Linked DNA regions of Stegostoma tigrinum. The protein of the gene in region 1 purifies or fractionates together with the protein of each later gene. This does not show direct contact. Links are inferred from orthologs where the notes say so. Each region holds a gene or a part of one and is shown on either strand. Other genes may lie near its edges.

The links.
Region 2: the proteins of E3 ubiquitin-protein ligase Itchy-like (region 1) and fam189a2 purify together in Homo sapiens (co-immunoprecipitation; 3 studies listed by BioGRID and IntAct, counting the BioPlex papers as one, with this or other methods). This does not show direct contact. The link is inferred for Stegostoma tigrinum from reciprocal best matches to the Homo sapiens genes ITCH and ENTREP1.
Region 3: the proteins of E3 ubiquitin-protein ligase Itchy-like (region 1) and amot purify together in Homo sapiens (affinity purification with western blotting; 3 studies listed by BioGRID). This does not show direct contact. The link is inferred for Stegostoma tigrinum from reciprocal best matches to the Homo sapiens genes ITCH and AMOT.
Region 4: the proteins of E3 ubiquitin-protein ligase Itchy-like (region 1) and cflara purify together in Homo sapiens (affinity purification with western blotting; 8 studies listed by BioGRID). This does not show direct contact. The link is inferred for Stegostoma tigrinum from reciprocal best matches to the Homo sapiens genes ITCH and CFLAR.

Annotation. Positions count from the first base shown.
Region 1 is NC_081372.1:11,186,653-11,194,613, reverse strand, and holds the start of E3 ubiquitin-protein ligase Itchy-like, read right to left. Parts: upstream 3,005-7,961; 5' UTR 2,891-3,004; intron 1-2,890. UniProt on the Homo sapiens protein: Acts as an Acts as an E3 ubiquitin-protein ligase which accepts ubiquitin from an E2 ubiquitin-conjugating enzyme in the form of a thioester and then directly transfers the ubiquitin to targeted substrates.
Region 2 is NC_081356.1:28,054,705-28,062,086, reverse strand, and holds the start of fam189a2 (endosomal transmembrane epsin interactor 1), read right to left. Parts: upstream 3,016-7,382; 5' UTR 2,713-3,015; coding exon 2,398-2,712; intron 1-2,397. UniProt on the Homo sapiens protein: Functions as an activator of the E3 ubiquitin protein ligase ITCH in the ubiquitination of the CXCL12-activated CXCR4 receptor. Thereby, triggers CXCR4 endocytosis and desensitization, negatively regulating the CXCL12/CXCR4 signaling pathway.
Region 3 is NC_081368.1:25,793,425-25,800,731, reverse strand, and holds the start of amot (angiomotin), read left to right. Parts: upstream 1-4,292; 5' UTR 4,293-4,412; intron 4,413-7,307.
Region 4 is NC_081360.1:19,688,847-19,696,843, forward strand, and holds the start of cflara (CASP8 and FADD-like apoptosis regulator a), read right to left. Parts: upstream 3,016-7,997; 5' UTR 2,967-3,015; intron 2,592-2,966; exon of another isoform or gene 2,187-2,591; intron 483-2,186; exon of another isoform or gene 306-482; intron 1-305. Other genes in the region: ndufb3 (NADH dehydrogenase [ubiquinone] 1 beta subcomplex subunit 3), read right to left, coding at 4,108-4,264. UniProt on the Homo sapiens protein: Apoptosis regulator protein which may function as a crucial link between cell survival and cell death pathways in mammalian cells. Acts as an inhibitor of TNFRSF6 mediated apoptosis.

The sequences.
Region 1 (7,961 bases):
AACCAAAACAAAACACTATTTATCTGAGATAATGGGAACTGCAGATGCTGGAGAATCAGAGATAACAAAGTGTGGAGCTGGATGAACACAGCAGGCCAAGCAGCATCTTTGGAGCACACAACGTTTTGGGCTAGAGCCTTCACAGAAAAGGGGGATGGGGAGAGGATTCTGAAATAAATAGGGAGACAGGGGGAGGCAGATTGAAGATGGACAGAGGAGAAGATAGTTGGAGAGGAGAGTAAAACTGCTTGTTGTCCAAACATGAAGGTGTTACCGTCCTCCCTCCAGACAAACCTCAGGGGATCTCTTTTCCACCACAACTCTCTTGTAATCTCTTTGGCCTTGAAACTGCTTGACCATGTCCTGAAGCCACTGCCTCCACCTTCATGTTTGGACATCAAGCAGTTTTACTCTCCTCTCCATGTTCGATCTGCCTCCCCCTCTCTCCATCCCCCTTTTCTGATGAAAGGTCTAGGCCCAAAATGTCAGCTTTTGTGCTCTTAAGACACTGCTTGGCCTGCTGTGTTCATCCAGCTCCACACTTTATTTATCTTGTGTGTTATTTGGGTCCTTTCAAATTGACTGCCACATCTGTCTACAAACCAGTAATTATGTTGCAAAAGGTACTTATTGGCTATAAAGCATTTTGAAACAACGCGAGGATGAGACATACTATATAAGTACTGGGTTTCGCTTTCCTACTGTAAAGCATAACTAAATAACAAAAGCAAAGCTAACGCACAAATGCAGGCTGACCTCGAAACACTGGCCTAAAGCAGAAACAGTAACCTTGCATAATGCTGGTTCATTTGTGAAAGGTCAGATTTTCTTCAATTTTGCTTTCAGTAAAGTGAAGATATACATTAAAAGGTCAACCAAACCTGCACGATAGCATCAGTTTACTGTGTCAACGTGTAGTTATTTAGTTCTTTTATAGTTAAACATCATACAGTGCCTCATGATCAGATAAATAATTGATATTAACTAATTGCAACCGGAGTGGAATGTAAAAGTCAGGAGATTTTGCTAGAGCTGTACAGAATATCGATTTGACCACACTTCAACTACTGTGTACAGCTTTGGACTCCAACCTTAAGAAGAGACATACTTGTGTCGGATGTAGTTCAGGGAAGAAACACTAGGCTGATTTGGGGATCAAACAATTTGCCCTGTGAGGAACAGTTGAGCACATATTCATAGATATTTAGAAAAATGAGAAGTAATCTTGTTGGAATTTACAAGATTCTGAAGGGATTTGACAGGGTTGATGTTGAGAGGATGTTTCCCCTCATCAATAAAATCCTGAACTAGGAGCATCATTTAAAAATAAACAAACAATCTTCCATTTCAGACAAGGAAAGGCATTTCTTCTCTGAGGGAGTTCAGATTTTGGAATTCTCTTCCACAGAGATTGTATCATATAGCCAACATTACACAACATGGAAACAGACCATTTGGTCTAAATCAACCAGATATCCAAAACTGAGCTAGTCCTATTTGCCCTGTATCCTGCTAAACCTTTCTTATCCATGCACCCCTCCTGGCCTTTTAAGTGTTGTAATTGCACCAGCCTCCATCGCTTCCTCTGGCAGCTCATTCCATACACACACCACCTTCTGTGTGAAAAGGATGCTGCTTAAATCCCTTCAAGTGTTGCCCATCTCATTTTACAACTCTGCCCTCTAGTTTTGGATTTTCCTACCCCAGGGAAAAGATCTTGGCTATTCACCTTATCCGCGCCTCTCATGATTTTAAAGACCTCTATAAAGGTCACCCCTCAGCCTCCGACATTCCAGGAAAAATGCCACAGTCTTTGCAGCCTTTGCCTATAGCTCAAACCCTCTAATCCTGGCAACATCCTTGTAATTGGGGATAAGGTAGGAACAGGATACTGATTGTGGATGATCAGCCATGATCATAATCAAAGGTGGTACTGGCTCAAAGGGCCGAATAGCCTACTCCTGCACCTATTATCTAAATCTTTTCTGAACATTTTCAAATTTCACAACATCTTTCCCACAGAGGCGGGGGGGGACTAGAATTGATCATCATTGAATATTCTGAAGGTTGAGTTACACTGATCAATAAGGAAGTTAGGATTTACTGTGTCAGGCAGAAAAGGGGGGGGGGGGTGAAGGCCATAATCAGATCAATCACAATCTTGCCAATAGGCGAATTGGCCGGGCAACCTCCTGCTCCTTGTCTTATGACGTTACAGTAAAGCAGTTGGATTAGTACCAAAAAAAATTCTCCACCACCTAAGAGCATTCCACCAATCTCAAGACAGACTTATAAACAGTACGTCAGAGCAGTCAAAGCGCAGAAAGCACCGATCTTTGAACACTAACCTCTCCAATGGAACTAGGGAGGACTTGAAACAACTATCATCATAGTGTCCTAGAATCTGGGGAGGTGGGGGCAGGGGCAAGTGGACCGAGTAGAACTACAAACCGACCTTTAAACCTGGCACGAAGACTAGTTCAGGGGCTGGGTGTTAGAAATGCCCGTCCTTCCAAGAGAAGGGAGACCTAAAGTTTCCTCGCTCTGAAACTTTCCCACATTTGGGTGTCCACAATGCAATTTAAATTAAAGAACAAGGACTCGTCTCGACGCAAGTCCGTGGTCACTCCAGCTTTTTAAATAGGCAGTGAAGCGGCCTACCTCAACAGACAGACGGGGAGAAACCAGTGGGTGAAACCAGAGCAGGCCGAGTGAGCGAGACAGACTGCTCTCCCACGACATTAGGCGACCCCATCCCCCTCTCTCCATCCGCCGCAACCCCCCCCAAAACCAAAGACCCCAGCCTGGGAGCAGTTCCCAACCGCCACTTTCCTTACCCCCGCCACATAAACGTTCGAACGAGAACGGGAAACCGAAAAAGTTTTCTTACTGGAGGAGCCGGCCCGGATAACAGCCAGACCCGCTTCAGAAAGACAACCGCGGGCTCTTCTTCAACGCTCCCACCTTCGCCAACGCCGCCGCCATCTTGCAGCGCCTGCTCACGTGATGGACTCTGCCTCCACCCCCACAGGGTCATCCAGGCTCCGCCCTCTTGACCCGCTCTCATTGGCCGCCGACGTCATGGAAACCGCCTGTCTTTGCCGGTGCGCGTCGATTGGTCCGCGCGGACGTCAATCATCCCCGGCGATGTTGCCAAGGTGGGCAGAGGGCGCACGTGGACCAGTTCCCTGTTATGGTTCTGAAGACCCGCAGGTTCTTCCATTACTTCGATGGGAGCGCCTGTACAAACATAGCAGAAGCAAATTACTGCAGATGCTGGAATCTGTACTGAAAACAACACATACTGGAAATGACAGCGGGTCAGATAGTATAACTGAGTGTGGAGCTGGATGAGCACAATATCCTTGGAGAGAGAGCAAGTTAACGTTACAAGTCTGGATGACTCTTCATCAGAACTGAAGACTTGCCCTGTCTTCGTGGCTACTATCTGACCCGCTGTGATCGCCAGCACTTGTTGTTTTCAGTAAACTGTCATAGCATACTGCTGCACCTTCCCAATTATTTTTAAAACTGTACGAATTCCAAATCCAGGGAGGCAACGGCATTATCGCTAGACTATTCACCCAGAAACCAAGATAATTTATACAAACCCAGGTGCGAATCCTGCCATGGCAGGTGGTGGAATTTGAAATCAAAAAAATGTCTGGATTTTAGAGTCGAATGCTGACCGTGAAACCATGGCCAATTTTTAGGAAAAACCAATCTAATTCACTAACGTCCTTTAGAGAAGGAAGCTGCCATCTTCATCTGGTCTGGACTGCGTATGATTTCAGACCCACAGCAACGTGGTCGATACTTAACTGTCCTCCAGGCAATAGGGGATGAGCTATAAATGCTGACCTGGCCAACAGCACCTCTATTCTGTGACTGGATAGAAAAATTCTCAACATCATTTCAAGTGGGTTGGACCACAGGGATAGGAAGATCTTACTGTAACTCTACAAGGTGCTGGTGAGACCACCCCAGAGAATCATGAGCAGGTTTGGCCCCCTTATTTAATGAAAAATATAACTTCTTTGGAGGACGTTCAGACAAGGTTCAGTAGGGTCATCCCTTGTCTTGCGAGCCTGGCCTTCCGGTCTTCTTGTGAATATAGGAGATATGGGTTGGAAGTTCACAGATGACACCAAAATTGGAGGTGTAGTGGACAGCAAAAACAGTTATCTCAGAGTATAATGTTACTTTGATCAGATTGGCCAATGGGCTAAGGAGTGGCAGATGGAGTCTAATTTAGATAAAATGTGAGGTTTTCTAGTTTGGTAAGGTAAATCCAGCAGGACTTATACACTTAATGGTAGCGTCCTGGGGAGTGTTCCCGAGCGAAGAGACCTTGGAGTGTAGGTTCGTAGATCCTAGCAAGTGGAATCGCAGGTAGATGGGGTAGTGTAATGATTCTGTCACTTTAAAAAGGTTATTTGTCCTGGGTTTTTTTGAAGAAAGGCTGTAATGGCAGAGGTACTAAAGGGGCTATGGAGATGGCTTAAGCCAATAACTTAGGAGGCTAGGTTTTTGGAAACAGTTGTAACAATGAAACGGGAGTGGCTAGTTCACACAGATCAGACTTCTGGGTTTTCTTAGCTTTGGCGGTCAGAAGCCGTTTGGTTCCCATAAGAGTTGGGGCTTCAGTAAAGCTGTTACTTTCTCGGAAATCTCTCTTGATGTTGTTTCCTCCTGGATTGCAGAATTGCACGTACAAATCTGTGTCGGAATTTAGCTTTTTGCCAAGGGGCGTGTTTATGGGATGTTACTACATTTGAACAGTTAATTAGTAATAGGTATGGTACCTTTATTCAGTTAAGGTTCCCAATAATTAAGTTATTCTAAATTCATCTTTCTTTTGTTTGCATTTTTAACTGCAATGTTTAAAAATTATGTTTTGCTTAACATCATGCAGTTTGACCAGTTGCATCACATCTGGAACGTGCACTTCACATCTAACTTTAAAATAAGAAAAAGGTTAGGGTCAAGGCTACCTTCTTAAAATATTTTGAGGGGGTCTGGTCTGGTCCATTAGCAGTAATGAAGGCGGCATTGGTACAGTGATAATGGGAACTGCAGATGCTGGAGAATCCAAGATAACAAAGTGTGGAGCTGGATGAACACAGCAGGCCAAGCAGCATCTCAGGAGCACAAAAGCTTTTGTACTCCTGAGATGCTGCTTGGCCTGCTGTGTTCATCCAGCTCCACACTTTGTTATCAAGGCATTGGTACAGTTGCCTTTATTGGTCAGTGGGCCAAATATAGAAGTTAGGAGGTCATGTTGTGGCTGAACAGGATTTTTGTTAGGCCATTATTGGAATACCGTGTTTAATGCTGATCTTCCTACAATGGCAAAGATGTTGTGAAACTTGTAAATCCTTTTTGTACCCTTTCAAGGACAATGCCAGGTTTGGAGAGTTTGAACTACAGGGAGAAGCTGAATAGGCTCTGGAGCATTGGAGGCTGAGGGGTGACTTTGCAGAGGTTTATAAAATCATGAGGGGCACGGATAGGGTGAACAGTCAAGGTCCTTTCCAAAACCACAGGGCATGGTTTTAAGGTGAGAGGGGAAAGATTTAAAGAGGATCTAAGGGGCAGCCTTTTCATGCAGAGGGTGGTGTTTGTATGGAATGTGCTGACAGAGGAGGTGGTAATTGCTGGTATAATTGCAGCATTTAAAAGGCATCTCGATTGGTACATGAGCAGGAAGGGTTTAGACGGATATGGGCCAAATGCTGGCAAATGGGACTAGATTAATTTAGGATATCTGGTCAGCATAGATGAGTTGGACCAACGGCTTTGCTTCCCTGGCATATATCTCTTTAGTCTTTGTCATAGACTTATACAGGTTGGGACTCTACTCACTGGAGTCTAGAAGAATGAGAGATGATCTCTTTGAAACATAGATTCTTAAAGGGCTTGACGGAGTAAAATATTCCCCTCTAGGACAACAGGGTATAGAGTCAGAATAAAGGAGTGCCATTTTAAGACTGAAATGAGAAGGAATTTCTTCTGTCACAGGATTGAGAGTCTTTGGAGCTCCTTGCCACAAAGAACTATAGGGGCAGAATCCTTGTGCATACGTAAGGCTGAGATCAATCAATCATCTTATCTGTGGAGGAACCATGGGTTATGGGAAAAGGCCAGGAAAGTGGATGTGGTCCTGTTGAATGGTGGAGCAGGCTGAAGGGGTCGAACAGCCTACTCCTGTTCCTATTTTTAATGGTCTTATTTCAAAGCAGTTACAACACAGACAGCATGCAGCCTATGCTGTTTTGCTTATTTAAATTCAGATGTGTTATGACACACCTGTGGAACAGGCGGGCCTTGAACCCTTGAATTCTCTTAGTGGTAAGGGCACTACCACTGTACATACAAAATCCCCACTCTGCTGGCCTTTGCTGGTGTTTATGTCCTACACAACCTTCCTCCTAGCCTTATCTTCAAACACCCTTATATTACTTAATACACAGAAATCACTTCAGATGCTAGAAATATGGAATGAAAACAGACAGAAGATCGAGCAGCACGTGTGGGGGAGAGAAACAGTTAAATGTTTCAAATCCAATAGGACTGACTCTTCACAGCTGGCTTCAGAAAAGCTTCTATTTGTTGTTGCCTCAAGTTTAGCTATTTGCTCAAATGTATCTATGCTCTGCCAAACAATCCCATATTCTTACTAACATTCCCACTAAGCAGTTGTGCAGTGTCCAAGGGTCCATATACACCGATTGGCATGCCAACAGTACAATAATTCATTCCCCTCCAGTTTCTCCACCCATGGTCGCATACAGATCTTGTAGGCCCAGGCAGCAGCAGAACAAATTACAGGGAACATAGATTCTTGCCCAAATCAACAGGTTTCTCCTGAATATCCTTCTGCACATATTTGTGTCCATCTTATATTTATGGCCACTTCTTCTTGATATCCGCGGTATGTTCTGTGCATCCCTCCATTTGGCCAAATGGGTACATTCCATTGTTAAATGATGCATCCTGCAAAGGGTTCATATTTTCATAGAATCCCTACGGTGTGGAAACAGGCCATTTGGCCCCACAACCACCCCTCCACAGAGCATCCCACCCAGACCCATTCTCCTAGCCCTGCATTTCCCATGGCCTACCCATCCAAACTAAACATTCCTGGGCACTATGGGCAATTTAGCATTGCAAATCCACCAACCCTGCACATCTTTGGACTGTGGGAGGAAACCAGAGCACACGGAGGAAACCCACACAGACACAGAGAGAATGTGCAAACTTCACACAGACAGTTGTCCAAGGCTGGAATCGAACCCAGGTCCCTGGGGCTGTGAGGCAGCAGTGCTAACCACAGGCTGCGTCAGAGAGATGATTCTGAGTAGAATTTTGTCCTAAGCCCGATAGTACAATGGTAGAATATTAAAAAAAAAACAAGATAATCTTACCGAGAGCTTAGCATCAACAGTCTCTGTAGACCCTGGCACAGGACACTACCTCTTGTAAGATCTGTTATCATGGTAACAGACGGTGAAAATTGGTAAACGACCCTCCAGCAGGTGAAAGGCAGTGGGAAACAGCAATGAAGCCAAAACTCAGAAGGAATAGGAAAGATCAGTGAGAAGAAGCAGAAGAAAAAGAATGATGTGCTGCTAAGATGCTGCTTGGCCTGCTGTGTTCATCCAGCTCCATACTTTGTTATCTTATGATTTGAAAGCAGTTTATGTAGAGTGATTAAGCACACAGGACAGCACAAGAAGCAACTCCAGCAAAAAGAAGCAATAGAATTCACACTTACTGGTCACAAAATCTTTCAAGAATATCATAAGCCCAAAATAAGTCGAAGAAGTAGCAAAACTCTTGTAAACATTTCACCATGTACAGGAGCAGTCCAGGGCTAGCAGCTAAGGAAAACCAGTTCTCTATGCAATCAGCAGCATACAGACAACTTTTCAGTGAGACAATGTAGAAATGAAGGAAGT
Region 2 (7,382 bases), on another chromosome or scaffold:
TCAGCATCCTGGAAGTTACCATTGACTAGGGACTCAATTGAACTCATTACATAAACACAGTGGCTACAAGAGAACGTCTGAGGCTAGGAGCACTACAACAAGTAACTCAATTCCCAACCTCCCCCCAAAGCCTGGCTGCTATCCACAAAGCACAGGAGTACGATGAAACACTGCTTCACTTGCCTGGATGCGTGCAGCTCCAACATCAATTTAAAAAAAAGCTTGACACCATCCAGGACAAAGCTGCCCACTTCACCGGCATCACATCCACAAGTATCTTTTTCCTCTACCACCAATGCTCAGTAGCAGCAGTCTGTACTATCCACATGACGCATTGTAAAAATTCACAAAGATCCTCAAACAGAACTTTCCAAATCCATAACCATTTCCATCCAGAATCACAAGGGCAACAGATACACGGGAAACCACCAAATGCATGTTCCCCTCTAAGCCACTCACCATCCTGACTTGGAAATACATCTCTGTTCCTTCACTGTCGCTGGGTCAACATCCTGGAGTTCCCTCCTTGATAGCATTGTGGGTCAACCCACATCACGTGGACTGCAGAGGTTCAAGAAGGCAGCGCACCACCACTTTCTGAAGAGCAACTAAGGATGGGCAATAAAATTCTGGTTGGCCAGTGATGCCCGTGTCCCACAAGTGAATTTAAAAAAACTACTAAGGGTGCACTACCTAAATGATTACACCTTCCACCGAATGAGATGTTAAACTGTCACCCTGTGAATCCTCTTCATTCAGTGTAAAAGACTGCATGGCACTATTTCAAAAGGGCAGGGAATTTCTTCCTGGTATCTAATAGTTATCCTTCAAATCAACATTACCAAAGCAATTCATCTAGTAGTTATCACTTTGCCCTTCATGCATTTTCACTGTGCTCAAATTGGCTGTAGTGTTTCTGACATTACAACAGTGACTACACTTCAAACAGGATTGCCTTGGCTGTAAATATTCCTTTGTGGAATTGTGGAAAGTTGTTGAAGAGAAAAAGAGAGAAAAAAATCTTGCATTTATCGTGCACCGTTCACAACCTTGAGACAACTCAAAGCATTCCATAGTCACTTCTACCTAACTTCCACAGACAGCATGACAATTAATCTGTGACTGAAGGACATCATGTTTGTCATGATTCTAAGGAAAGTTCTTTAGTTCTTCAAAATTAGTCCCGGGGATCTCAGATCCACCTGGGACGGAAAACAGCACAGTTGACAGTGCAGCCCTCCCTTAGCATTGTATTCCAAGTGTCAGCTTGTATTTTTTAATTGTTTACATAGTGGGCCTCAAACGGACAACCTTCTGACTCAGAGGCAGGAATGCTACCTTGTGAGGCACAGCTCATTCTTTTAGATGCTGAGCAATATGCCATACATTTCCAGAAATTCTGCTATCATCCCACACAAGTTCCTGCTATTCTTTATTCTTTGACAATGCGTGAATATTACATGCATCCTCTTCTATAAGACACACGGTGTCACGAGTACAAGATCCCCACAATGCTATCCAATACTTCACAACTTCAGTGGGATTTTAAAATTTAGAAATGTTAAAACTGCTGGTTCACCATGTCTGTTTTTAAAAAGATCCATCACGAATTTCACAGATGAACACTCTAAGTAGCAACTGCTAAAATGTTACAGGAGCAGCAACTTCAGAAAGATACATCACAATTGCATTAAAACTGCATAACTTTAATTTGCACATGTAAATGTAAATTGTTAGGTGAGGATAATGTCTGCATAGAATATTGTTTAAAACCAAAGGAATGAGAAGCAAAATAAAACAAATGATATAATAAATTGCAGGGCTCCAGGGAGAGAATAATGAGAATGCGCCTAATTGGATAACACCTTTAAAGATCCAGCACAGACACTAAGGGCCAAATAGCCTCCTTCTGTGTTGTAAGATTCAAATTTAGAAGAGAACGAGTCAAAGAAACTGAGAAAGAAGGCCGGACAGCAAAAGGGACGTGAGGTCAGAACTCAACAGTTGCGTGGAATTCACAACACAAAACAGGTCGTTCGGCCCATCTGTATTTTAAAAAAACTCTATAAAAGTTACCATCACAAAAAAAAGTAAAATAACTGGTCATTATCACGTTGGTGTTTGAGGGAATAGGGCTCCAATTGGCTGTTTTACATTGCCACATTGACGACTCTTCAGAAGCAACTTTGGAGTGGTCTGAGACCACGAAAAGCGCTATATAAATGCAAACCTGCGGCTCTTCGAACCGGACTCCGCCCCACCCCCCCCCCCCCCCCCAAAAAAATCAACCGATTTGGTAAATGCAATAGTCTGAGTACAACAACCTGGGAACTGCTTGGGCATAGTCGAGTTAATTCAGTGTCATACTTATGGAGAAAGTTTTGTTGCTAAACTCACCGAGGAGCCGGCCCAGAAGGGACAAGAGTTCCTGACGTTGGGGGACTCGGTGAGGGACAGAGCCCCGAAACTGAGAGACACGATGGAGAAACCCAGAGCGATCTGGAGTAGTCCCAGAGCGAAGAGGGAGCGGCCGTAGAGCGGGCAGTGCAGCGGCTGGCGTGCCGGGCTCGTATTGCTGCTGCTGCTGCTGCTGGAGTGTAGCGCTCCGGGCCATGACACACACCGAGCCCGGTTCCGAAGCGGTGCCTCCCCGCTCGGTGTGGTGGCTTGCACTGGGCAGCAAGAAGTGGGCAACAGCACTGGCAGTGACATCCGGCAAGAAAAGAGAGAGAGAGACAGACAGACAGTAAAAGGTTGACTGCGGGACTTGGTAACCCACAGTCACACCCCAACAGTGAAAATCACTGCGTTTACTTTGGTAAACCCCTTCAATCCCTCAATTCACTCAAAAGCCATTTGCTCGGAAATGCCTTTTAGGAAATGCATCGCTCTCCCAAGTCGCGGTACGTCCCACTTTCCCAACATTTTTTTTAACCCTCCCCTTGTTTTCCAAAGTGGCTGAGTTGACTAGTTTTAAAATAACTCCAGGCGAGTTTGGGATTGCATTACTAGATCTGGCACACACACAGAAGCCAGTCACTTTACAAGGGAGACTTTGACCCCCCCCGCGGCAGCCACAAGCTGTGGGTTTAAAACAAGACTAGGAAACCTAATTTTTAGATTTTCAAAACCAATCTTGAGGTTTTTAGTTTGACCTAACTGAACATTTTTTTAAAAAACTTGTATTTAATTCTTTTGCGGGCTCCATGTGTTCCACTATGTATTTACCTGTTTATCGACCTCGTTTATCGTGAATTACTAGTCCCAGTCGCCTTGCAGCCGTACCGATCGGGGGGAAAATTACAACCAGTGGAAAATACCGAGCATGTCAGTATTATTGACATAAAATTTCTTTTGTTCGATTTCAAAAATGCAGCCCTAGCAAGGTGTCTAGTTTTGACTACGATCTTGATTGAAGCCTGAAAGGGACAGACAGGTTTGTTGGCTGTAAAATAATAACGTTTTTAATCGACAGTACGATTAACATAAAACATCCGACGATCCTCACGAGAGTACCGTCAAAGTCCCAGCCGCAGAAGACAGAACAATGCTGGGGACTCATTGGAGTTTAGAAGAATGAGAGGTGATCTCAGTGAAACACGTCGGACTCTAAAAGGGCTAGTAAAAGCTGGGAGTGTGTTTTCCCCTCGTGGGGGGTGTCTAAGACCGGAGTGCATAGTCTCAGAATTAAGGGGACACCAATTTCAGGCTGAGGTGAGGAGGAATTTCTTCTGTGGGTTATGAGTCTTTTGGAACCCCTTGCCAGAGAGCTGTGGGGGTAGAATTGTAACAGTGATAATGGGAACTGCAGATGCTGGAGAATCCAAGATGACAAAGTGTGGAGCTGGATGAACACAGCAGGCCAAGCAGCATCTCAGGAGCACAAAAGCTGACATTTCCGGCCTAGACCCTTCCCGAAACGTCAGCTTTTGTGCTCCTGAGATGCTGCTTGGCCTGCTGTGTTCATCCAGCTCCACACTTTGTTAGCTGTGGGGGTAGAGTCGTGTTGTGTATTTATGGCTAAGATAGATCCGTAATCAGTAGGGGAACAAGAGTAATGGGGGCTGGGGGGAAAGAAGTGCAGGGAAATGAGGAATGTTGGATCAGCGACGATCTTATTGACTGGCAGAGGTGGCTTGAGAGATCGAATGGCCTACTCCTGTTCCTGTTTCATGTGGTCTCATACGTCAGATAACTGGAGAACTTGGCCAAAGTAGGCTTTAAAGAGCTGACTCGGGGGGGGGGCTTTCCAGAGTTTGCAGGCCAACTGGAGCTACAACGGGCACTGGTGGCAAAAATAAACTTGGTGCAATTCCAAAAAGCCAGAACTGACAGAGTGCGAAGAACCCAGAGATTTGTAGGGCTGGAGGCTGCCATAGCAATTCACATGATTAAGGCATTGGAAAGATTTGAACAATGTAGAATGTGAATTTTACAATCAAGGTGTCACTGGACCTGGGAGCCACTGATTGAACAAGACTTAGTGTTACTGGATGAGCAACAGTTTGTAGAGGGTGTGAGATGTGAGACTGGCCAGGACAGTGTTGGAATAGTCTAAGCTAGAAATTATTACAGCGTGGTTACCATAGTTTTCAATAGCAGCAAAAGAGGAAACTCACAATGTAAAAGTGTATGATTCGGGAGTGATTTCAGCAATTGTTGGAAAATTTCATGCTGTCTTGCATTTAACAATGGATAAACACATCATGGAATCTTTCTAGATAGCAAGACATAACAGAAGTACAGAAGGCATAAAGTGCTAAAATGAAGATTAATTACAGAGAATGTTATAGCACAGAAACAATCTGTTTTGCCCATCTGGCCAATATTTATGCTCCACATGAGCCTGCTCCTTTCTTATTTAATCTCACCCAATCAGCATGTTCTTCTATTCTTTGTGTTTCTCTAGTTTCCCCTTAAATGCATCTGTGCTATTTATTACAACCACTCCACATGATAACAGGTTCTACTCTTTAAGTAAAGGTATAAGCACCCAGTTTTTACTGTAGCAGAGCACCTAATGATGGCTGCAATTTGTTAGGCATGAACCTTGCACATTTATCTTATGAAATGTTTAGCATGACCACTTGCTGAAGGTACAGTCTGAGAATAGAGCAGCAGGGGAAGTCAAACTTTGGGACTTTGAATGAACAGGCAACTGTTCCAAACAAATAAATTGAAGAATTGGGAAAGAGAGTACAAGATTGGAACAAGGATACGTATGTTAATTTAATATCAAGACTATTGCAGAATGAAAACACTTACAATTTAATGTATGCTCAAATTATCTGCATCAATCTCCAGTCTTTTAAAGCCAAATAAATAAAACTTTTGACTTGTATGCAGTCACCTTTATGAACTAAGTTGAAATTTGAATTGGTGTTGAGGTTCCAAGATGGGTCCCTAACGATTCCTTTGACGTCAGATCTTACCAGTTAACTCCATATTGCCGTTTCTTCCTTTTTTTTAAATCACTCCTTATTCCAATTCCTTTTATTTATACTGTAAGTTGTTTGACAGTTTGAAATTGTCGTTCCTACATTTGACCTGTTGAGTCCAAGACATAGCTTCAGTAATACGGTATTTTTCTCAGTAGGCAGTTCTATTTGTTTCTTTATCTGTCCCACACTAATTTTAATCTGAACATTGAGATGAGAGATATTGGTTGGTATGAGAAGGGATTAAGATTACATGGTAAGGTGGGGAGGTGCTGGGAGCAGAGGAGTTGACCAGGGCATCCTGGGAGGTAAAGTGCCTATGAAATGTTAATGGGATCACTGGCAATGAGCATGAGAATCTGACTGTCAATGACATCCTTTTCCTTAGAGTATTCCTACTTCCCTTCCATCTTGATCCAGGCCTAACTCTTTCTGGTATTTTCTATCCTTCCACTGCTGCTTCTGTGCAGAATCTAATCAACTCCTGTCTCCAGCCCTTCACCACATCTTTAATGCTTCATCCAGCCCCGACACTCTGCAAGTATGAGTGGTGGGTCCAGAAGTGCCCTTAACCATAATTTATTTCCTTCATCTTCCATCACATTCATTTTCCTAAAATGTGTGTTTTCAAAATTGGATTCATTTGCCTATGTTTCGTTTTGAAAAAAAATCAAAGTAGAAGTTTGCGGTGGCACAGTGGCTCAATGGTTTGCATGTTCTCCCCATATCTGCACGGGTTTCCTCCTAAAGTCCAAAAGATGTGCAGGTTACGTGATATGGTGTTGGGAAATTGCCCGTGGTGTCTAGGGATGTGTAAGATAGGTAGATTAGCCATGGAAAATGCAGGGTTACAGGGATAGGGTAGGGGGTTAAGTCTGCATGGGATGCTCCTTGGAGGGCAGTTGTTGACTCAGTGGGCTGAACGGCCTACTTCCACACTGCAGGGAACTTTGATTAGGTATTGTCCTTCCGTCTCTTAGATGTTAGAAAATGTAATTATTCCAGTTGCTAAATGTAAAAACAAACACTGGTGAGATGGGAAATGTTCAAAATTCAACATTTTAAACAAAATTTAGCAGCAGAAAAAATTCTTTCAGCTTAACGCAGTTTGAGGTTTACAAAACAGAAGCTACAACAGAAATGTAATCACATTCACTCCCACACCCCCCCGCCATAGCACCCTGCATAACTTCGTTTTTAAACATGCAAGGAACTTTACTGATTAAAGCTTTCAAAAGTTGTCCACTCAGCTCATAAATTTTGACAAATAACAGCTCAAAACTGCCAGAGACTAAAGGAGAATATACCACTTGGCTGAATGTAAATGCACACTCTCAGAATGCGGAGTTCAAACTCAACTAGGAGCACTGTAACTCTGGCTGAAAACAAAATCCAGTGTAAGCTTATACTTTTGGTAGAAATGGAGCTCCTGAAGTTTAAAAATAATCAGAAGATTAATTTAATGATGACTAATAGTGTAATGCCCAAAATGGCATTGGCTAATCCTATTAGACAAATGTGCTGTAAAACAATGGTTGCTATTACATCCTGCTGGTGTATGAGAAAGCGAAAAGCTTTCCTTTCAAACAGAAGAAGCCAATATTTTTAATTCACAGATAGTAGGGGGTAAAATGACAATGATGCCACTGGACTAATCTAAGTGCTCTGGTGACGTGGGTTCGAATCCCACCATGGCAGCTAGGGAAATTAAATTTCAATTAATAAATCTCCAACATCAAGTTAAATCATGAAATTTACACTTATCATTACTCTTGTAAAAACTGGTACGATTCACTTATCCTTCAGAGATCTACCATCCAGATCTACAGTAATATGGACAACTGTCAACTGCCTTCTGAAGTAGCCTAGCAAGCTGTTCTGTTCCGGATCATTAATGCTGGCAACACAGGACAGAGTATGGGCACTCACTGCCTGCCAGTTGTA
Region 3 (7,307 bases), on another chromosome or scaffold:
TGCTTGATGACTGGCTTGGACTTGATGGGCCAGAAGACCTCTTTCTGTGCTATAAAAATTCCATGGCTCAATTGGGTAAGAAGGACAACAAAATCCTGATTATATGATTAATTTCCACAAACACCTGAACCCAGCTTGCTTTATTTACAAAAATGAGAATTGATGGGCAACAAAAGATGAGATCCATTTAAGTATAATGGTTAATGCAGCACAACACATGTACACCTCAACCCCACTGAAGCTATATGATTTCTTGGGAGAAGTAGAAAAAACTCTTTTCAGAACCAAAAACAAACCACTGCTAATTGAAGGGGAAAATAATTGGAAAAATTCTCTCCAGGCCCACCTTTAATGGTTAAAAGTAGTTCGAGTCCGTTCTTTTTCTAATCAATGTTGTGAGGTTACCTGTGCCCCAGAAACAGATATAGCTGTAGCTTGAAGTGATCTGCTAAATTGATCATCATCCACCAAAAACGAGCAGCCAGTTCACTGTTCTGTCAGAAGAGAAAAATGTACAAACGTTTAGCCTAGTTTTGCACTTGGCATATTCTGCAAGAATAATCTGTCCTAAATGATCAATTAGACAAGTACGTAGTACAAATAGTTGTTTGGTAATTTGAATTTGAACATTGCTGAAAAAAGATGTTTTGCTGAAGTTTTCTTCCACTTATCAGGACATTTTGCAAGAATGCAGATTCATGTACAAATTAATATTTATACTGCATAAGAGGAGAGTTCTGAGTGGCTGGCAAATACACTCTGGTTGGAACATTGCCATATTGAAAACACTCTATTGCTAATTGTCAGTTTACAGATGTATTCATCATTGGCAGTCTATCGCAGATGAGGATGACTCTCTTCCACTCTTGGTTGAGTCTGTAGGTGACTAAATGGACCAATGCAGCTACTGTAGGTTCCCTTATGCTTAGGGCAGGTGGTGTTCATGGGAAGGAGTGGGTGGGGCATTGGTGTGGTAGTGCGCTCCTTTCACTGTTTTTGCCTGACTTCCATTTTTACCTGACAGCAAGTCTCCAGGTGCTTGACATCTTCCCAGATGCTCTTCTACTTTAGATGTTCTTGGGCCAGTATTTCCTAGGTGTCTGTGGGAATGCTGCACTTCACCAGTGAGGCCTTGAGGGTATCACTGAAGCATTTCCTTTGTCCACCTGGGGTTCGCCTGCCATTCTTGAAGTTGGGAATAGAGCACCTGTTTGTCTCTTGTTGCTCATGTTGATATCCAGCACATCATAGCTGATCAAGGGTGGTCAGTGTCAAGATGTTGGCCTGTTTGAGAATGCTGATTCTTTCCAGCAGATTTGCAGGATCTTTTGCAAGCAGTGTTGGTGGTATTGCTCCAGTGCCTTGAAGTGCCATTGAGGAGGGTAGGAACTACCCCAGGTCTGTAAACCACAGGCGTGTTCACAGTGCATGGGGAAGGTTGTACCCTCATGATGACAGATTACTTATGTAAATATTCCATTCTTTGATGACTTAGCAACATGCTAAATGTAACAGTTGCTGATATAATGACTTACTTTTATTTATTCAGTGTTCCAGAATGGATAGCATCTGACAATGGGCTGCAGTTCACTGGCATGTATGAAGTGGGGAATGACCACATCACGTAATCACCTCACATTTAAATGGTCCAGCAGTGTGTGTAGTACTTCCTGCCAAATCAATGATCAAGTATGGAAACAAGTTTTTCACATTTTGTTGGTGCATCTTCATACAGCATCAATGGCGAAGCCATCACCAACCCCACCACAGCATATGCTTGGAAGGCAAGTACCATGTAACTTTGCCAAGTACCCAATTGTCTAATCATTCCATGACAACAATATTTTTCTTCAAAGACAGAGGAGAATGAAAGAGATAAATGATGAGTGAACAAGTAGAGAAATACCACAATTACACAGTGGACAGAGAATGACTTAGAAATACATATACTTGAATATAGCAATAGTTTCAATCGTGCAACTGGCCCAGATCATGTGAAGTCATTACGGCTCGTGGTGCTACTTTGAGAAAGAATATGTGCCAGCTCGAACAATGTACAACACACCAATCGTGTATGATGAGAATGAGGAAGAATACTGTGATGATGATGATGATTGTGCAGCAATATTGAGTAACAGTAACCAGGAAAATTACAACCAAATAAAACAGAGTACAAATAAAACATGTACCTCTCCACATGGGTATACGATCACCAGATCGGCGCAAGTTGTCAAACCTCCAAAGCTTTATATTGAACTCTGAATTGTTAATTTTGTAAACTCTGTTTATACCTGTTCATGTAATTACCTAATTGACAAACCTGTTTATGTACAACCTTGTATTTCTTTTTGAGATCACTTTTTATCTTTGAAAAAGATGTTGCATTAGGTTCACGGGTAGCATGTCAGCATACCTGATAAGGGAAACGATCTTGATTCATCACTGTCTCATAGTATGTGAACTGAGGGTGTAAACTTCTTGGACTCTATCAGAACCAGAGGGCACAGTTTAAAAATAAGGGGTAGGCCATTTAGAACAGAGCTGAGGAAAAACTTCTTCACCCAGAGAGTGGTGGATATATGGAATGCTCTGCCCCAGAAGGCAGTGGAGGCCAACTCTCTGGATACTTTCAAGAAAGAGATGGATAGACCTCTTAAAGATAGTGGAATCAAAGGCAGGAGGGATGAGGCAGGAACAGGATACTGATTGTGGATGATCAGCCATGATGATAATGAATGGTGGTGCTGGCTGAAAGGGCTGAATGGCCTACTCTAGCACCTATTGTCTATTGTCTTAACTTGGACTACTTAAAGTATGAGACTCTGATGGAAGCATGCTGCTCATTGTAACCAAAGAGTTATAATGAATGTCCACTGGATCTTTCAATGCCACATTTTCTGTGTACTAGTTTCTTATGTTGTGAAGGATGACACAACTATTACTGTATCAGGTAAGGATACCCTGCTGTTGGCAAAACATACCCCACCAATGCAGGTATTGACTAATTCCAACAGCAAATTGTGCAATTATCTCTCTTTGATATTTAAGGTTTTATTCAACAGCATTGCTCTGACTGAATCAACATCCTCCAGGCCATCATTGTCCAAAACCTTAACCAGACCAGCCACATAAGCATCTTGAAGCCGTGTATTTTGCAGTGAATAGCTCACATCATTCTCAACCATTTGCAGTGCACAAATCAGGTTCCCTATTTGGGGTGTAGTGTATCTGTATTAATATTCTAGTAATTTACTGCTAAGCACGGTGTAGTGTATCTGTATTAATATTCTAGTAATTCACTGCTAAGCACAGGCTAGTCTATTTGATCAGAGCATCATCCTCTAACTTAAATATCAATCTTCTACGTCATTGACTATGTTGTGTATTACCCACAGTATGCACACCAATCATTCATCTGAAATGTTATGGCAAGACTTCCTAAACCACCTGCTTTACAACTGGGAGAGGCCAGGGAAGCAGGTGAAACAATTCTCCTCTAGTTCCGCCTCACCCTCAAATGTTCCTTCATTTTTAAGTCAAAATCCTGGAATGCACTGTCTAATTATATAGAAGGATTATCTTCATTACACAGAATACAGTTATATACTTAAGCTCCCAGTAGCAACTACGAGAGCGACCAAGCATGGACGAGAAAAATTGACTTCAGAGGTGACACTTTAGGAATTTAAAAAAAACTTGTTTCTTCAACTTGTTTGAACAAATCTAAACGATTTACAGGTGGATTGTGTTGTTGAATTATGATTTTATTTGGATCAAGCCGAAATAAAACATGTGCTGGAAAAACTCAGCATGTACGGAGATAATTATAGTCCAAAACGACTTCTGAACGAAGTTCACATTGGAGTCCAAGGATTAACTCTGTTTCTCCCTCCACAGATGCTGCCAGACCCCCAACCCCACACTCTTTTTGTTTCGGATCTTGAGCAATGAACATTGTTTTGCTTTTTTCGAATGGGTTTTAAATTCATATGCGTTTATTTAACGCGTGAAACAAGGACGTTATTTGATTCTCAGTTCATTTTTAAAGGTAGGTGAAACATACTCCACAATGTCACCTGTTTGCATCGGGGGCACCCCCGCCTCTCTCGCGCCGCGTAGCCAGCCGAAGTGCCTCTGCAGGCGTCGTGCGAAGCCCATTGGAAGTTGAAGTCCAGGCGAGCTGATCCTGGCAGGGAAACGGGTTAATCCATGGGAACCAAACGACTACACTTCCCAAGCTGCACCTTGGTTTTATTTTCCACCAAGCGCAAGCGTAGAAACAACGAGCGGGGCCGGCAGGTGAAAGACGCTGGAGAAAGGTTTTTTTTATTTTCCCCTCCCTCGTCACGTTGAGTTTGGAAATGGTGGTGAAAGAGGGGGGAGCACGGAAAGGTTTGCAGAATATTTCAACAGTAAGTCATTTATTTTTCGAGAAAGGGTGAATTGCTTCGTAAAACTATTTAGAAATATAGCTAACGTTTGGCAGGGAATTACTCCTCTGTTGGCCGGACACCTAACAAAGAACAGGCTTCAATTAAATTGCATGTGGAGAGAAAATTATTAACTCGCAATATAAATGATGACAGCGTATCTGTGTTGCAAACGTATTATACGATTACATGCCTCTTCTCTAATTTCCAAATTAAATGGTGAAGTAACATGTAAAATGAACCTTTGTTTCACTACTTCACGTCTAACGTTGTAAATCTCCGCTCCTGCTTCGCCCAGTCTGATGCTAAAACACTGATCTTTGCCATTCACCATCCTGAGTGAGCTTCAGCTCATTTTAAAGCACAGCGGGCTGTGTTGAATTCAGCACCATCTCCCATTCTACTGTCTCCCCTGTTTTTCTTGAGTTTGCCCCACCGCGGCCACCAAGAACAACACAAGCAAAATTCAAATTCTTACCCAGGTTTTGACTTTCAAATGAGCATGGTGCAACAAAAACTACACGGTTCTTTGTAAACTAGATGTTCATCTAATTTGTAAGCCTGTCTATGTGTATGGAAGAATGCTACAATATCTTAATCTAAGCCCCGATGCATATTGTTGGACTCCAACCTGGTGTCGTGTGGCTTCTGACCTTGTCCACCCCAGTCCACATCATGGAACAAATAGGATTAGCAGCATTTAACATTGTAGGGTTTTCTTTTGCAAAGATGTACTTTATTCACTAAGAAAAATAAATCTTTATGTACATACACAGTTACAGAAGTAGTTCTGATCACTAAAGTTTTTGCGTATGGAGAAGAAAATAAACATCGGAGTTTGATTTTTCATATTAGGTACAACTAATCCAAAGGCATTTCTTAATTATGGAAAGTAGTTGGAACTACTGACATGTATTTGAGGCATCAGGAGTGTCCAATAACTCAACGGGCCCCTGTTGTATTTTGGCAGAAACTGTGGTGGTCATTCCCTACTGCACCTTGGTGGCAGCTGTCCCAAGCTTTAGTGCATCCTTCAGCACATAGTCCTGGACCTTGGAATATGCGGCTGCAACACTCGGTCAGGGTTAACAGTTTGCACTGGAAGACCAGCAAATTTTGGGCAGATCACAGGGTGTCTTTCACTGAGTTGATGGTCTTCCAGGCATGGTCGATGTTTGTCTTGGTGTACATCCTGTACAGAGTCCTGCGTCATGGAGCTGCTTGGGACTAGCCTCGTCAAAAACCTCTGCATCTCTCTCCAGACTTCCTCTGCATAGCCACATTCCAGAAGGAGATGGGAGATAGCCTCAATCCTCTTGGAACCGCTTTGAGAGGATTTGTCCGTGCATGAAAGATCTTGCAGCTAGTGCCCTTCTCTCCACCAGCCAAGCTGTTGTCTTGATGCTTGTTGAAAAGTTCTGGCAATGAGGAATTCTTCCAAAAGGCTTTGACAGTCTGCTCAAGGAACTACCCGACAAGATCAACTATCTCCTTTTCCTGAAGTGTCTTGAGGATTCTATGTGCTGACCACTTCCTGGTGGACTTGTGGTCAAAGGTGTTTTCTTTCACAAATTTATCCATGAGGGACAGGTCATATGGGATGGTCCAACTACTTGGAGTGTGCTGTGGTGACGAGGCCTGACCCATCCTTCGTGACACTATGGACAGGTAAAATCTCAGAACGTAGTGACACAAAATATCTGCGTACTGAGGGTCTAAGCGCAGCTTGATATAGACACACAGAAAGGTGGCCATCAGGATGAGGGTGGCATTCATTCTTAACCCGCCCCCAACCCCAACACATTTAATACACGGTGTCCCTTTGGACTCGATCAATCTTAGACCTCCAAATGAGGTATATGGCGGCTTAGGTCACTGCAGCGATGCAGGCTTGGGGAATAGGCCAGATCTGTGCCACGTACAACAACATTGAGAGGATGTCACACCTGATGACCAGGCTTACACCTGCAATGGAGAGCTAACGGTTCTCTCATCTGCCCAGTTTCTGAGGCATTTGAGTTCAAGTAATGTAGTGCTGATGATATTATTTTGCTCTTTAACTCTGCAAATAAGGCTTCAGTTCAAGTCCACAGCTCGAGTATTCTTAGTTTCCCAACAGTGTGGAAACAGGCCCTTTGGTCCAACACATCCACACCGGGTCGGAAATTGGCTTGTTGAAAGAAGACAGAGGGTGGTAGTTGATGGGAAATGTTCATCCTGGAGTCCAGTTATTAGTGGTGTACCGCAAGGGTCAGTGTTGGGTCCACTGCTGTTTGTCATTTTTATAAATGACCTGGATGAGGGCGTAGAAGGATGGGTTAGTAAATTTGCAGATGACACTAAGGTCGGTGGAGTTGTGGATAGTGACGAAGGATGCTGTAGGTTGCAGAGAGACATAGATAAGCTGCAGAGCTGGGCTGAGAGGTGGCAAATGGAGTTTAATGCAGACAAGTGTGAGGTGATGCACTTCGGTAGGAGTAACCGGAAGGCAAAGTACAGGGCAAATGGTAAGATTCTTAGCAGTGTAGATGTGCAGAGAGATCTTGGTGTCCGTGTACAAAGATCCTTGAAAATTGCCACCCAGGTTGACAGGGCTGTTGAGAAGGCATACAATGTTTTAACTTTTATTAATAGAGGGATCGAGTTCCGGAACCAAGAGGTTACGGTGAAGCTGTACAAAACCCTGGTGTGGCCGCACTTGGAGTATTGCGTGCAGTTCTGGTCACCGCATTATAAGAAGGATGTGGAAGCTTTGGAAATGGTGCAGAGGAGATTTACTAGGATGTTGCCTGGTATGGAGGGAAGGTCTTATGAGGAAAGGCTGAGGGACTTGAGGCTGTTTTCATTAGAGAGAAGAAGGTTGAGAGGTGACTTAGT
Region 4 (7,997 bases), on another chromosome or scaffold:
GGCCATAGTGGCAAAATGGCCTACTCCTCAACATAATTTGTGTTCATAAGTAAGAGCCTTGTCACTATAGCCAGTGAGACCCAATACCACTCCTGTTTTGTTCTTTTTACTTAGCTTTTAAACAGTTGGAATTTCCTCATTTATTCATTTTGGTGTAGGCTTGTTTTGCCCGCATCAACAATCATCGTGTGCTCATCCTCTCTATTACAATTTTAAATCTATCCCTGCTCTTCCTCCACTCACTAACAGCATTCTCAATAATAACCTCTGCTGATTTCAGCTTGTTCCTTGGACCAATGACAAACCTGCAGCTGTCCTGCTTCTTGTTGGCATTAATGTTTAACGGCATTCCGCTCATCGACTCCAAATGTTGCACTGCTTCTGTGACAGCGCCTTCTCTGCCCATCACGCGCATGAACCTGCTACAAACCACAGGTCTGTCTATCCTGAATCTGACTCTCCGTTCAAAAGGAAACCATTGCCTGGAGAATAAACAGAGATTTTACTCAACCGGTTTATATTGCTGGGAGAAGCATGGAGAAAGTATATGGTGTGGCTTCAGGGTGTTCAGAACCCCCTCTGCTGACCTTATGGTCTCTGCTCCATTGGAACACACTCATATTAGACTCTGGCAGTTGAAATTTTCCATTTCTGTACTATCTTTGTTACCCCATCCTACAAAGCAAATGCTTATCATCCTCAGCCCATGAACCCCGGCCTCCCAAGATGATTAACAGTGGATAGGGTACATGGCACAGAATCAGGCCAATTGATCAAACAGCAATGCCAATGTTTACAGCTCCACTCAAGCCTCCTCCTATACTTCACATCTAAATTCATTATCATAAGCATCTTTCTTCATAACAAGTATTCTATATTTATCTTCATGGTAGAAGACGGTGAAAGGATTCTTTTATTCATTCATAAGGCATGGGTATCACCAGCTAGGTTCACTGTTTATTGCCCATTCCAAGTTGCCTTGAGAAGGTGGTGAGCTGCCTTCCTGAGCCACTGCAGTCCTTATCCTGTAGGTAGACGCATAATATCATAAAGGAGGAAATTCAAAGGTTGAGGCCCAGCAACACTGAAGGAATGGCAATATATTTCCAAATCGGGACAGCAAATGGCCTGGAAGAGAACATGAGAAGACGTGTTCCCATGTATCTGCTGCTGTTCTCCTTCTAGATGGTAGTGGCTAAGGGTTTTGTAGGTGCTGTCCAAGGAGTCTTGGTGAACTTCTGAAGTGCATCTTGCAGACGGAGCACACTACTACTGAGCATTGGTGGTGAAGGGAGTGGAATTTTGCGAATGTGGTGCCAATCAAGCAAGCTGCTTTGCCGTAGATGGTGTCAAGCTTCTTGAGTTTGAGCTCCACTTATCCAGGCAAGTTGGGAGTATTCACACTCTGAACTTAACGCCTGGTAGATTGTGGATAGGCTTCAGAGAATAAAGAGGTAAGTTGCTCACTGTAAGATTCCTAGCCTCTGACCTGCTCTTGAAGGCACAATACTTACTTGATTAATCCAGTTCAGTTTCTGGACAATGTTAACACCCAGGAATTTGGTAGTGGGGTAGCCAGTGATGGCGACGTTATTGCATGTCAAGGAGCAATGGTTTGATTCTCTCTTGGTGGAAATGGTTACTGCCTGGCACTTATATATTATAAATGTTATTTGCTACGTTTCATCCCAAACCTGAGTCTTGCCCAGTTCTTGCTGCATCTGGTCATACACTGCATCAGTACTTGAGAAATCTCAAGTGGAGTTAAACGTTGTGCAATCACGGGCGGACATCCCCATTTTTGACCTTATGATGGAGAGAAGATCACTGGTGAAGCAGCTGAGGACAGCATCCCAGTAATAGCAGAAAATCACGGGGCAAGAGGGAGAGACTGAAAATAAACATTGTCACCGGGATAAGCAGGCTGAAGGCTAACCCGTCTCCAAGACCAAATGCCTGGGCATCCTAGGCCATTCAGCCCTTTGGGATTTGTCAGTGTGGTCTCAAAATATTCCCTGCTCATTGCTTTGCCAGGTCTGGGGGAGGCCTTTCAGCCCCTCTGTTCTATTCTGTCCGTGCTGCAGCTCCATCCAGCCACTTCCTTCCCCTGGCTCCAATGTCACGGTGTGCTCCGTGCTTTGCCTCAAGTTCAAACCCGTCAACGCAGATCGCTTAAACCTCCTCACCTCCTATAAACCTATCTCCCGGAGTGGGGTATGCAAACGCCTGGCCTTTCCTGCAGCCCAGGCCACGGCCCAAAACCCAGGCTCCCCTCCTGCCCCAGGCCCCAGACCCGAGGCCCGTCCTCCAGCCCCGGGGCTGTCTCCGTCTGCGGTGGAGGCTCGTCGCGGGGCCGGGGAGTGCGAGCCTCACGCACCAACCTGCCCCGATCACCGCGTCCCTGGTTCCGGTTCTTCTCCTGCCCCCTGGAGAAAGCGAAAGTGAAAGCCCCACGGCCTCGGCCGGGGACTGGGGCCCGAACCCCGTGCCCCCCCTCCTCCCGCTCCCTGGCCCCGACTCCCAGGCGGGGAGGGGTGGTGGGGGGGAAGCAGAGCCCTGGGACCGTGGTACTGTCCGGAGCTCAGGCACATTGTAATGACAGACCCCAGGACTGCATTCCATTTACCCCCCCCCCTCGTGTTCCCACACAAATCCCCCTCCCACATCCCTCATCTCCAGCCCCTCTATACCCCCTTCCCCCCCATCTCTCCTGTAAAGATCCCCGCCCCTCATATACCATCATCTCGCTTATATACCCCCAACCTTCCTGTATCCACATCTCCATTCCTCATATATCCTCATCTATCCCCATCCCTCATACACCATCATCATCATCCCCCCCATCCTTCCTACGTCCTGCATCCTCTCCCATAAACTCCATTCCCTCCTCCTCCTCCTCCCCCCTGTATGCTTCATCCCCTCCCCATACACTCTTCAACTACCATCACTCCAGAATCACTACATACCTGCACCACTCCACACACAGCACTCAGAGAGCTCAGCAGCTACTGTAACATAAAACAAAGCACTGCAGATCCTGGAGTTCTGATACAAAAATACAACTTGGTTCTGAAGAAGAGTCACCGGAATTGAAACATTAAACTCCGCGTTCTCCCACCGATGCTGCAAGAACTATGCTTCATCGGTTTTGTTTCAGGTACAGCAGCAAACTGGTTATGTTACTGGACAAATAATCCATAGAGCTGAGTGATGCTGTCTGGGAAGATGACTACTTAGCCTCCAAAAGAAATTCCTCCTCATCTTACTCGAAGTGGGAGACCCCTTATTTTTAATCTATGCCGCAGTTCTAGATTCCCTCCACGTAGATCCTTTTAGCATTTACCCTATCAGAGTCCCATCAGAATCTTACATTTCAAGATCACCTTTCATTCTTCTCAACTCTAAAGAGTACAGGTCCAACCCACTCCACCGTTCCTCATTAAAACTACCACAAACTAATGATTCTTTGAACAACCTTTAATGCAAATATTATTCCTTAAATGAGACCAAAATTGTACACACACAGTCATACAAGACTTTCCCACATTCCATTGGCCTTCTTAATTACTTGCTACAAATGCCTGCTATCATTGTATGATTTAAGGACACCTTGAGGCAATGGCTCACAAGGCTTCCCAATATTTCATCAGAGGTACTTGGACCTTATCCAATACTGGGCATCCAACAAGCAGAATGACAGCACAGTGGAAGCATCAAGAAAAAGTGATGCTGAGGCTTCTTGTTGTGGAACCTGAATTATCTGTTGATGATGTATTTGAGGAGCAGCAGGTAAATGAGAAAGAGAAGGCCAAGGATAAATCATGGGTGTGCACACCAGAGAAAATGTCACATGTGCTTTTCAATCAACATAAAAGCACATCTGGAACAAGCATAGGGCAGGCACCAGCTTCAGGAGAAAACTGGCAATGGGAGCTAAAACCAATGGTGAAAAAAGATTCAAAAGGAACACGGCAGAGCAGTGCTGATTCAATTAATTATTTTATTCTTTAAAGACATTTGCCTCTTGACTTGTGCACTGGTTACAGCTCACTGACTGGAAAGGTTTGAGTGCTTTTCATAATTTCAAAGCTCTTCAGTCTTCATTTACTAGTGATGTCCTCCATTTTTCTTGGGAGAAAATAATGCATATTCAACACCTAAAGCCACAACAAATGCTGCAAATCCCCATTTGAAGCCTCGAAAGAAGATATCGCTGAAGGTGATAGATTTACGAAAGCCTCCGCTGAACCGCCAGGCTTCATTGCTGTTAGGATACAAGACAAAGAAAATGGTTAAAAAGGATCAGACTTGAACTCTGTTGTTTCCTCTCTCAGTCAAAGATGTGCAGGCTAGATGGATTGGCCAACACATACCCAATGGCAGGCAATAAGATTGGGAGATGCACCTGGTCAGTCACAGGATGGAACAAAACTGGAGCTTCCACCATGGTAGTCCATAGCTCCAGACTGTAACATGTGAATGTGCACCTAACCACAGATTTTCTGACTCCTTTGGGAGTCGGTCTGCTCAGACAGCTGGATGGCCAGTGTGCTAGTGGCTTGAGGTTTGATTCCTGTTCTGATGGGCTGGAATCAGGACTTGCCTCCTTCCTCTACTCATGGCAGAGATTGGACATTGTGGGTCAAACCTGCCTTCGGGCAGAAACTTAAGAAAAACATCCTTTTAACATTTTGAATTCAATTAGATCACTTGTCACCAGATAAATTCAAACGAGCACAATCCACATTTACAAAACCTGTCCTCAAATTTTAACCTCTTTGTTCTAGTATCATAGTGCAGAGCAGATTCACCACAATCTGAAGGTCATATATCCTGCCTGTAGTGTAGTGTTCTGAAGTCTGAGTAAAACTTTCTACAGCATCTCATTTATGCTCTACAAAGTACTGACCACCTGCTTACTCATTCATGTCCTATTAATGCAGGTTGGCACCATGTCCTGCCCTTCCTTTGATTTTGCTTTCTATCTCCAGGGCCAGCAGCATGTAAGCCATTTTGTTGTGGTCACAGGTTTCAATATCCAGGGCAAGGTGATTATCAAATAACTGGACTTGCATATAGACCTGGCTCTGCCAAGAAGGGTCTAGGCCCAAAATGTCAGCCTTCCTGCTCCTCTGATGCTGCTTGGCCTGCTGTGTTAATCCAGCTCTACACCTAGTTATCACTAATCTGACAAGAATTGGTTCTTGGACCACTAGTGGTGAGACTTTAACATTCAATGATTTAGCTAGGTTGGCTTGTGTCTTTTCTGATTCTGGATTGTGACACTTCCACACCCTACCATAAAGGAGTAAAGATCCTGTGTATGTTTGTTAAGGGCAGTGGGGAGAGAGGTGGTAGTATAGTCTAATATCACTCAACTAGTAATCCACAGGCCAGACCAATGTTCAAAACTACTCTCGATAATAGTGACTGTAACAACTGTCATTGACTATAATTAAAAGCCCATGATTCACGGTTTTGGGGAAGGAAATCTGCCATGCTTACTTAGAATGGCCAACGTATGGCTCCAGTCCAATGGCACTGTAATTCATTCTTCTCTGAAATGGCCTAGCAAGCTACTCATTTCAAGGGAAATTAGGGATGAGGAACAAATGTTGACCTTGCCAGCAATGTCACAAGAAATATTTTTTTAAAAACTCCCAAACTTTTATAAACACACAGTTGTATGAAGTTTCAATGTTCATTCCCAATAGGCAGACACACAATAATAAATCCATCTCTGTGCCCACAGAATTTCAGAGTATCAGAGCCAAACCATTCCCGGGGGCTCTGCTGAGTTAGCTGATCCCAGCAAGTGTAGTGTTAGGAATAAAAAGTTGGCCAAACTGCTTCAGCTAGGAGAGGGAAAATCATTTGGGGGCTCCAACTGCTGATTACTGTTGTAGCAATGCTATGTTTGAAAGCTTAAACTTTGGGTGAGTTCACTGCTAATCTTGGGAACCACTTCCCAAATGATCAGTCAAGGGTGACCTGGGCAAGACACCAGAATACGAGGTTGTTGACTTGTTCACCGAGCTGGTGGCTTAGTTTGAAGATATTTCATCACCATAGTAGGTAACATCATCAGTGAACCTCCAAATCAGCATTGTTGGTCTGTCCCGCTTGTTATTTGTGAGATCTGGTCTGATGTGGCAGTTGGCTTCATATCCATTTCTGCTTCATAGTGATTGGTATATGGGGTCTACACACAGCTACCTACAACAACTACTGAAAAGAACAAAGGATCCCGTACCCACAACTAACAGGACCAATGTTATGTATAAAATTCCACGGAGGATTGCCACAAACATCAGACAGAGCAGGAGTAAAATAGCTATTAGGTACATGAGCACCAACTAGCTACCAAGAGACACAACCAACTATCATTCGTTTCCAGACACTCAGACAAAGACAACCACCAATTTGACTGGGACAACATAACCATCTTAGGAGAAGCCTACCAAAGATACACGCAGGATTTCCTAGAGATCTGGTACTCAGCCCGTAACTCCATCAATAAACATATGAAAATAGACCCCAATATACCAACCTGCTCTGCTCTATAGTAGAAATGAAGCCAACCACCCCATCAGACTGGACCACATAAATAACAAGCAGGCCAGACCAACAATGCTTCATCGGAGGCGCACTGATGATGTTACCTAGTATGGTGATGAAACATCTGCAAACCAACCTGCCCAGCTGGTGAACAAATCAACAACCTCATCCACAACCTGAGCTACAAGCCTTCTCAAAAACTTTAAACACAAGAATATGCTGGTGGAATCATTCACTGGGTATAAATTCAGTGTATCTGGTGAAAGGCAAAATGAAACACTCAGCTAGTTAGTACTTGCTGCTAGGAATAGAAATAGCAACTGCTTACAACAGCTCAGTAATCAGCACCTTGACTGACTGAAAATGTTCCAAACAAAATTTCAATTATTACAATCAGAACCTAGAAATGTGAATACCTGACAGGGCAAAACAACACCAGCTTGGCAGCCCATCCATTATAAACATTTACACTCTCCACTACTGAAGCACAGGAGCAGCACTGCAGCAACTCATCAAGATTCCCTCCGTAACAGTTTCCAAACCCACAATCTCTACCAACTACAGGGACGAGGACAGTGGATACATGGGAATACCACCATCTGCAAGCTCTCCTCCAAGTCATTCATCATTCTGACTTGGAACTATATTGCCATTCCCTCAGTATCATTGGATCAAAATCCTAGAAATCCCATCCTTACTGCACTAAGTACATCCCAAGTGTTGCATCAGTTAAATAAAACTGTTCCCCACCACCTTCTTCCAGGGCAATTAGAGAGGGACAGTAATTGTTGGCCTAGCCTGCAGCATCCATATACTGTAAAAGAATTCAAAAATGATTGAAAAGCAGAGAACACATGCTAAACTTAATTGGAATCTTGACCAGAACACACACACAAGATTACTGTACAGATTTCTGCTCTCCACATTATAAAGACTTAAATGCACTGGAGTGGATGAAAAAGGGATTTACAAATTGCTACCAAAAATGGGGGTAATAACCATCAGGAAGAGTCAAAGAAAGATTTTGCAAGATTTTCATTGATTAACTGTGGGGAAGACCCAAACTAAGAAACATAGTACAACTAAACAATCCAAAAGATAATTCATGAGAAACTTCTATACCAAGAGAGTCGTAAGAATGTGGAACAAAAATAGAAGTTGCTGGAAAAGCTCAGGAGGTCTGGCAGCATCTGTGAAGAAAAAGTCAGTGTTAATGTTTTGAGTCCGGTGACCCTTCCTCAGAACTGATGGAAGCTGGGAAAACTAGACTCAAGCCTGCTGAGCTTTTCCAACAACTTCTGTTTTTGTCCTTGGTTTACAGCATCTGCAGTTCTTCCTGTTTTTATTTGGTAAGAATGTGGAACCTGGTTTCAAAGGGAAAACAGGAGGTACTTAAGGGGAATTGTATCAGTGATACAGTATCTCTGATGAAGGGTCTA